Linked DNA regions of Danio rerio. The protein of the gene in region 1 purifies or fractionates together with the protein of each later gene. This does not show direct contact. Links are inferred from orthologs where the notes say so. Each region holds a gene or a part of one and is shown on either strand. Other genes may lie near its edges. The genes, in order: l3mbtl3 and samd13.

Region 1 (3,829 bases):
TAAAAGCAAAGCTAAAAAAAATACCAAGGAAATGTGTGTAAACTTTAGACTGTCTAGAAATTAATAGAAAATTCTCAGAAAGAAAAAATTATCTTATTATTCTGGCATTTAGCAAATGTAAATAATTCAGGTAATCCTTACAGATCTAAAATAGTAAACGTTTAGTATGATTTACCATCAGACATCTTTTAAAATGGTTATGTTCCTTTTTTTAGAGTGTGTGTAAACTGCTGGTTTCAACTGTATGTAGAGTTAAAGTCCACATAAACCTGAAGCTGTGACGCAGTTTCTGGAGAAACTGTATATAAAAATGAGTAAACAGTGGGTGTGGCTTGTTTTTTCTACTGCAAGCTGATTGGCTGTAGTAAAGTAGGCGTTTCATTCAGAAAGACTGGAAAAAGGGTTTGGGGAGAGTTATTACAGCTTACAGACTCCTCCTGTTCACCATTTCTGTGTGTTGTCTAAACTGACCGCTGGAGGGGCGTGGTTATGTATGTTAGCCCCGCCCAACACCTCAGACAGACCTAATCTGAGAATTTAACTAACAACAAACAGGAAGTGCATTAAAGACTCCAAGAGCAATCTGTTGTTTTCTTTCTTATTGACATGCACAGATGAATTGTTCACCACTAAACTAGCAGTGTGAGCTAACAGAATCATTATGGTTGCTTTTAGATTTCATGTACTTTAATATAGTGTGTGTTTGTGTGTGTCCTCCAGACGGTGACTCCATCAGGTTTCAGGGTTGGCATGAAGCTGGAGGCCGTCTGCAGGAAAGATCCTACTTTCATCTGCGTCGCCACGGTTACGGACATGGTGGACAGCCGCTTCCTGGTGCACTTTGACAACTGGGAGGAAAGTTACGACTACTGGTAAATTCCCCATGACGACGCTCTGAAGTGTGTGATAATGACATTTCCTGCACACAATCACACTCAAATGATTTGCTGTCCTGTGATTTATTTTTTTATTTTTTTTATTTTTCAATTATAAGTCAAAAGCTCAGTGTGTTTAATAATACATGTATCAAGAATGCTTAAAGCCTTACTTTATGCTGCATGACATAGATATTGATTGTTGTTTTGCTAGTTGTATTGAGGTACATGTGTGTGTTTCTTCTTTTGTGCAGGTGTGATGCCACCAGTCCTTATATTCACCCAGTTGGCTGGTGTCAGGAGAACGGCAGGACCCTCAGCACCCCTCCAGGTCAGTAAACACATCCACACCAGTCTCAGGCTCTCTAATATTCAGTTAAAGTCAAAAATACTACCCTCATTTGATTTCTTTTTCAAATATTTCCCAAAAGATGTGTAACAGATTCAGGAATTTTTCACAGTATTTCCTATAATACTTTTTCTTCTGGCGATAGTCTTATTAGTTTTATTTTTATCAGTTTTAAATTTATTAAAAAAACATTTTAAGGTCAATATTAATAGTCCCCTTAATCAATATTTGTTTTGTCTTAGACAAACCACTGTTTGCCTAATTAACTTTAATTAACTTTTAACTTTGAGGGCCCTATCATGCACCCGGCGCAATGTGGCACAAGGCACAACGCAATAGTTGTTTGCTAGTTTCAGCTTGGCGCAAGAGTCGTTTTGACATTTTGCACCACGCTGTTTAAATAGCAAATGCATTTGCGCTCATACGTGCGCCCATAGGCGTTCCGGTCTAATAAAGGAGGTGTGTTTAGATGCATTGCTGGCGTGTTGCTATTTTAAGGAACTATAATAGACTGCACAATATACCAGATCAAAGCAGGTCTATAGTCCAGCGCAGAGCGTGTTAGTTGTGCGCCTCTCTTAAACATTGCTTAATACAGACATGATGTACAGCAATACGCAAATATCTTTACATATGAAAAAGAGTTAAAGGATTAAAATATTACAAAACATATTATTTTCTAGCCTACATAAATATAAAAATCACTGCCTTCATGCTTTCTTCATCTCAGGCGGCTTTTTCAGTTTATTCATGACAATTTGCTTTTGTATAATGTTATTATTATTAGCAGTATTATTTATTATATGCATATTTATATTTGTTTTTAATAAAAAAACAAGCTTAGATTTGTCCACCTGTCAGGTTTTAGACCATATGGGGCTCAGCATGTGTATTAGGACATAACTCAGGTTTTTGAACACACTTCGTTGTTATTGTTCATTTATTCATTTGCTGGAAATTAGAACTGAATTTAGAAACAGTTTTGAAACTAATCTTTGCGCTTAACAAACAAAATTAATTATGTAAAGGCTAATGGATGTCTGCGTACAACACCTTTCCCTATTCACTAAAGTGAATGTGAAAGTAAATAATGAGGAGGCTCATCTCTTATTCTCCCCTGCAGATGCTCTGTTTAACTGTTTTCTCGCCATTGAAGCGTTCAGTTTACAAAGTCTGCCATGTAAATACCAAATGCGCTTATGCCGCGACCCAACTGACTCTTTAAAGGGGATGGGAGATGAGACTATGGTTCATTCTCATAAAATACACCTATAACTCATTAAGAAAATAAGCTTAACCCTGTTAGACCATGCGCCATGGCGCAAAGCGGATTTTCCCATACTTTAAATAGCAAAAGTGGATTCGGACACGCCCTTAATGCCTTTGCGCCCTGCGCTTTGGACTTTGTGCATGGACTTTCAAAATAGAGCCCTAGATGTCACTTTAAGCTGTATAGAAGTGTCTTGAAGAATATCCAGTCAAATATTATGTGCTGTCATCATGGCAAAGATCAAATAAATCAGTTATTAGAGATGAGTTATTAAAACTATTATGATTAGAAATGTGTTGACAAAATCTGCTCTCCGTTGAACAGAAATTGGGGAAAAAAATAAACACGGGGGCTAATAATTCTCACTTCAACTGTATGCCGTATTTTTCGTGTGTGTATGTGAGTAAAATACATGTACGGTACCTGATATGACTTATTATTGAATCAAATTTTGTGAATCATAATTAATTCGAACAGACAGAACTGAAGAGTGTGTATTTAAGAGGTTAGCTGCGTCCAACATCGCACACTTCCATACTATATTCATTCATTCATTCATTCATTTTCTTGTCGGCTTATTAGTTTTTCCCTTTATTAATCCGGGGTCGCCACAGCGGAATGGACCACCAACTTATCCAGCAAGTTTTTACACAGCGGATGCCCTTCCAGCCGCAACCCATCTCTGGGAAACATCCACACACACATTCACACACACACTCATACACTACAGACTAACATAGCCTACCCAATTGACCTGTACCGCATGTGTTTGGACTGTGGGGGAAACCCACGCGAAGGCAGGGAGAACATGCAAACTCCTCACAGAAACGCCAACTGAGCTGAGGTTCGAACCAGCAACCCAATGACCTTCTTGCTGTGAGGCGACAGCACTACCTACTGCGCCACTGCCTCGCCCATACCCATACTATATAGTATGCTGAAACAGTATGTGAGCCGAGTAGTATGTCTGGATTCATAGAATTGGAAAAACAGTATCTGAGAAGTTCCTGTATGACCTACTGCTTCCGGCGCATCGGGTGCACTCTATTCCATGATGCACCATGAAAGAATTCATGAATGGGAGTGAAGTGATGCAACTGGTCACGTGATCATGTTAAAATGCTGGATGTAGAACGTCCGAGCTCAATTCATACAACTGACATTCATCCAGTGTAGAATGTACTTTTGTAGCAGCCGAGTAGTGCATTTACATTCAAATGCAGAACCCACTGAGTTGTGGGTGATTTCAGACGCAACCTTCGAAAATCGAGATCAAAAATGGATCAAATCTTGTGAACTGTATTGAATTGTGAACTTTGTGTCAATGTCCAGCTT
Region 2 (4,484 bases), on another chromosome or scaffold:
TAAATGCTTTAATTAATAAAAGTACTTCTACCTCCTTTTACCTTCTCATGAGAGCAAAAAGCCTCAACTTACCTCACTCTCCCCCAGATTATAAAAAGACTGGTGAAAATAATATTGTTTGATTATTTTCATAGCTAGATAACTGTTGATGACAATAGGCCGCTTTAGCCAGAGCTAACTGTGCAAAATATTTGCCAAAAGTGGCCCACATTTGTTTTAGGATAACTGGGCCACATTTGCCATATCTTCTCTGGGCCAACTATAGGCTCAAATCCACATTAGTCATAGTTTACTGTGCCGAACATTGCCAAAAGTGGCACACAATTTGTTTTAAGATAACTGGGCAACATTTTCCATATCTTCTCTGGGCCACCATATACTAACGGCTGCATTAGCCAGAGTTTACTGTGCCGAATATTTGCCAAGCTGGCCCACATATGTTTTAAAATAACTGGGCCACATTTGCCATATTTTCTCTGGGCCACATTAGACTGCCAGATTACCCTTAAATGATTATGCCACATTTGTCCTCCATCATTTGCGCCAAATTTATCATTTTCCACATGGGCCACATTAGGCTCGCATTCAGATTACATTTTGCCATAAAAGGCAAATCTTTGACTTAAATGGCCCATACATGAATTAGAATTTTTGGCCCCCCCTTTGCCGTTGTACAGGTGGGTCACTTCGGGCCGGGCTCACATTCATTTTGTCTGGGCCGAAGGAAGACCACCAGTGCCGCATAACTGCCTAAAGTGGCCCACATTATGCAATCTGGGTAACAACAGTTTTGGCTTCTTTGGAAAATAAATAAATAAATCTAATAAAGCTATTGAAGTCTCAATCAAAATCATTGATAATTGCTATCCAATAAATACTAAACTAGCTAAATTTAATAACAATATTTCCCCTAAATACTCATTTTGTACTCACTATGATGAAACACTAAATAATTTATTTTGGAGTGTACTTACTGTAAAGTGTTTTAGGTTGACTTTTTTTATTTCAATTTCATTGAAAAATTATTATCTCCAAAATTTTGTATTTCCTCAACAAAACTTGTATTCTTTACTCTCTGAACTATTATTAATTTATTGCTTTTTTGCTAAATTTTACATCCATGAATGTAAATTTTCAAAAAATAAAATAAAAAAACACCCTTACTTTTTATTTTTAGAGAGGACTTTGATGTATATGTGAACTCCTTAAAAAGTTTAACAATTATATTGCGTGTAAAACTCTTTCTCGGTGTAAATTATTTAAACTAGTTTAATTTGCTGGAATTTTATCAATTTAACCCTTTTTGTCTCTTTGTTTATTTTCTATTGCATAATAAAAAATAGTTTTCATCAAAACAAAAATCTGGAAGTAAGGAAGTAGGTTAAACGAGTAGCTCACGCTTGTGACCAACTACATTTCCCATCGTTCTAGACTACATTACCCATGAACCCCTGCGTCTGCATTTGTTGGATTGTACTGGAAAAAAGCGTAATATTGTATCAATGATCTTCAACCAGTAATATTAACACCATCTACATAAAACATCTAAAAAAATTGGTAAGATTTTCATCCAAACTGTTTAAAATGTTGATTGTGTTTTCTTTGGAAAACGGTAAATGGAATAAATGTTCAGTTAATGAAAGCTAGCAAGCTAATGAGTTTATCATCTGCTTTATTAATCGTCACATTATTTAATTCGTCATTAAAACACTTGTAAAATACAAAATTTATGTTTCGATTGTATTTTAGGCTACTCTTGTTTAGCCTGTCAGATTGCAGCTTCCGTCATTAGTTACATTTAGTCTTGTTGTAAATATGTATTTCGAAAGCTACGGTAAATGATTAAAAATCAAGTAAACTTTGCTTACAAAAATATTGGATGATTTATAATTAATTGAACAGCTTTTCTATGTGTTACTAGCGATGGCTGTCATTTTGTATATCGTGTTTTTCTTCATTGACGCTGAACCTGTCAAACCAGCTCCGTTGTGAAGCAAACCGCTTAACGTTAAGTTACATCTTAAAATGTCAGCAGTTCTCTTTGGTTTTAATATTTTGGCGAAGTGGAAATCTTTTTACTTTAAAATAACGTTCTTTATTTGTATAAACATAGCTAATAAGTACTAGTATAGATTATAATACTTGTTATTCTCTAGGGTTTTTTTGTGGTTTCAAAATTTGGTTTACTCAATTGATAGATTGCATTGTTAAAAAACGTCAGTTTACTGAATGAGTTTTTGATCAATTTCCTTGTAGTAATACGTGTCTATTAGTGTTTTGCAGCTACCACAACAATTATTCATAAACTTGGAGGTCTACTATACATGTTTATTGACAATGGGGTCAGTTTGGCACAGCGGGAGACTGAAGAAGATGGCATGAGCAGCACAAGAGGATAGAACACCTTTAATGGAATAGAGCAGCCTCATCTTTCTGACAAACAGGTGAGCGATAGTCGAGTTGTTGTTGAAATGAATAAATATGGTGTTATTGGTTGTTTTTTTAAGTGATTAATTTTTTTTCTTATTTTTTGTGTGTTATTCAGCAGTCATGGAAACCAAGGAAAATGGTTCAGTGGAGACCAAAAAGTAAGTTTATGTTATATCATTATGATAGTCTCTAATAAATCTTCAATACTTATTGTTTAAATGCTGGGGGTTATTGTTTTTTTTTTTTTTTTTTTTTAAGGATTTTAAATGAAAGGCTTGTTGCACTTCGTTTTAATTGTCCCTTTACACATTCTGCAATTTAGGAACACACATGCAATTACAAAAAATGCCAGTAAATAAAGAAAAGATCTTCATCTGTTTGACAGCACACGTGCTGCAAATCCTTACAATCGCAAACACTTAAAAAAAATAATAATAATAATTCGCTGCATTTTCAAATATAGCAAACAAATTAATGAAACGAGCTGCATTTTCTCACAACACAGACTATTTATGAAAAACATGTTGTTAGTATATGAAAAATGTAATTATTTATCTAGAATGTACTTTTAAAAAGTTGTTGATGTTGTACAAAAAGGTTGTCCTCTGGAGACCCTCAGTGTCCAAATGTATAGTACACTAAGCTCGTCAGTGCCCGAAGTCGTGCACACGACCTACTGATTCACAACCTCTGAAGATAGGGAACAGGGAAAATTAAGTTTGATCTGTTCACGTTTAAATAATTTAAATAAAAAATTTGTAGACATTCGAGCACAGTGCAAAAAATCTACTTTTATCATCCTCTGCCACTTAACATAAGCTGCTGTATAATGTTTTGATGGTCTTTCACTTTTTACACAATTTTTGTGTGAAGTTTTTTGTTTCCATGTGTCAGATTACATATGTTAGGTTATAATAACTCTACTGAAAATCACTTTTCCTGATCTTTCAGAATGAAATGCCTACTTTACTACATCCAATCAGTTTGCTGTAGAAAAACAAGCCACGATCAAGTTCAGTTAAATTAGGAACTGCGTCACAATACAAAAAAATGGTTCATGTGGATTTTAAGGGATGCTTATAACTGCGATTTTAAGCCAAATAAAGTCATACCATATATCTTGTGGATTGTATAGGCATTCAGTCTTTGATTAAATCAAATTGGGGTATCATTTAAAGATTTTTCTCTTCCTAAATAGTTCTGTGGAGAATGGGCAGCTTACTGATCCAGCCCACTGGGCCGTAGCGGATGTGGTCAATTATTTTAAAGCGACAGGGTTTGAGGAGCAAGCCAACGCTTTCCAGGATCAGGTAGAGCTCATAATCATATTCATAATATCTTCAAAAGTCTTTATGGCAAGTATATTTATTGATAATTAAGTTGGATACTTTAAATTCTTTATTATTTTTCAGTTAAGTTTGATCAAATGTGTGTATTTATTGTACTGTATGTGATAATCATGCGCTAATGTTTGTGCTAATGTCGCATCATGACTTGCATTTACATGTCTGTATAATAAGTTTATGTTATTTATTATTGGTCGACCCGCTGGCTCAGTTACACTGAAACATCTGGCACACTTTACCACACAGCTACCATTTTAAGAACATTTGTAATAATTAATGACAAGTCTGTTGCCACACAGGTTATGTGTTTCATACACTGACAGTTTTGTTTGAAACTGACAGCTAGATGTCTGAAATATGTTAACAGTTTTATGAAGCTATCCAAATTTTCCACTGTTAAAGGAACACTATACGTTTTTTAAAAATAGCCCCATTTTACCATCCCCCTAGAGTTGAACAGTTGGGTTTTACCATTTTTTTAAATCTGTTCAGCTGATCTGTTTGTCTGCCAGGAACACTTTTAGCTTAGCTTAGCATAAGACAAAACTAATAGTCTAATTAATCTATTAGCATCTTGTATATATCTTGTATCAATATATCTTGACTCTTCTGTTGTTACATTGTTTACTAAAACCTTGAAGACATAGTCTAGGGTGATAAAATTGGAACTGTACTCTCATTCTGTAATGACAGGTGCATTAATATTGA

What was found.
Region 2: the proteins of l3mbtl3 (region 1) and samd13 purify together in Homo sapiens (affinity purification with mass spectrometry; 3 studies listed by BioGRID and IntAct, counting the BioPlex papers as one, with this or other methods). This does not show direct contact. The link is inferred for Danio rerio from reciprocal best matches to the Homo sapiens genes L3MBTL3 and SAMD13.

Annotation. Positions count from the first base shown.
Region 1 is NC_133195.1:2,235,950-2,239,778, forward strand, and holds part of l3mbtl3 (lethal(3)malignant brain tumor-like protein 3), read left to right. Parts: intron 1-720; coding exon 721-872; intron 873-1,129; coding exon 1,130-1,206; intron 1,207-3,829. UniProt on the Homo sapiens protein: Is a negative regulator of Notch target genes expression, required for RBPJ-mediated transcriptional repression. It recruits KDM1A to Notch-responsive elements and promotes KDM1A-mediated H3K4me demethylation.
Region 2 is NC_133186.1:8,332,055-8,336,538, forward strand, and holds the start of samd13 (sterile alpha motif domain-containing protein 13), read left to right. Parts: upstream 1-1,436; 5' UTR 1,437-1,557; intron 1,558-2,256; exon of another isoform or gene 2,257-2,273; 5' UTR 2,274-2,444; intron 2,445-2,545; exon of another isoform or gene 2,546-2,548; 5' UTR 2,549-2,550; coding exon 2,551-2,588; intron 2,589-3,628; coding exon 3,629-3,740; intron 3,741-4,484.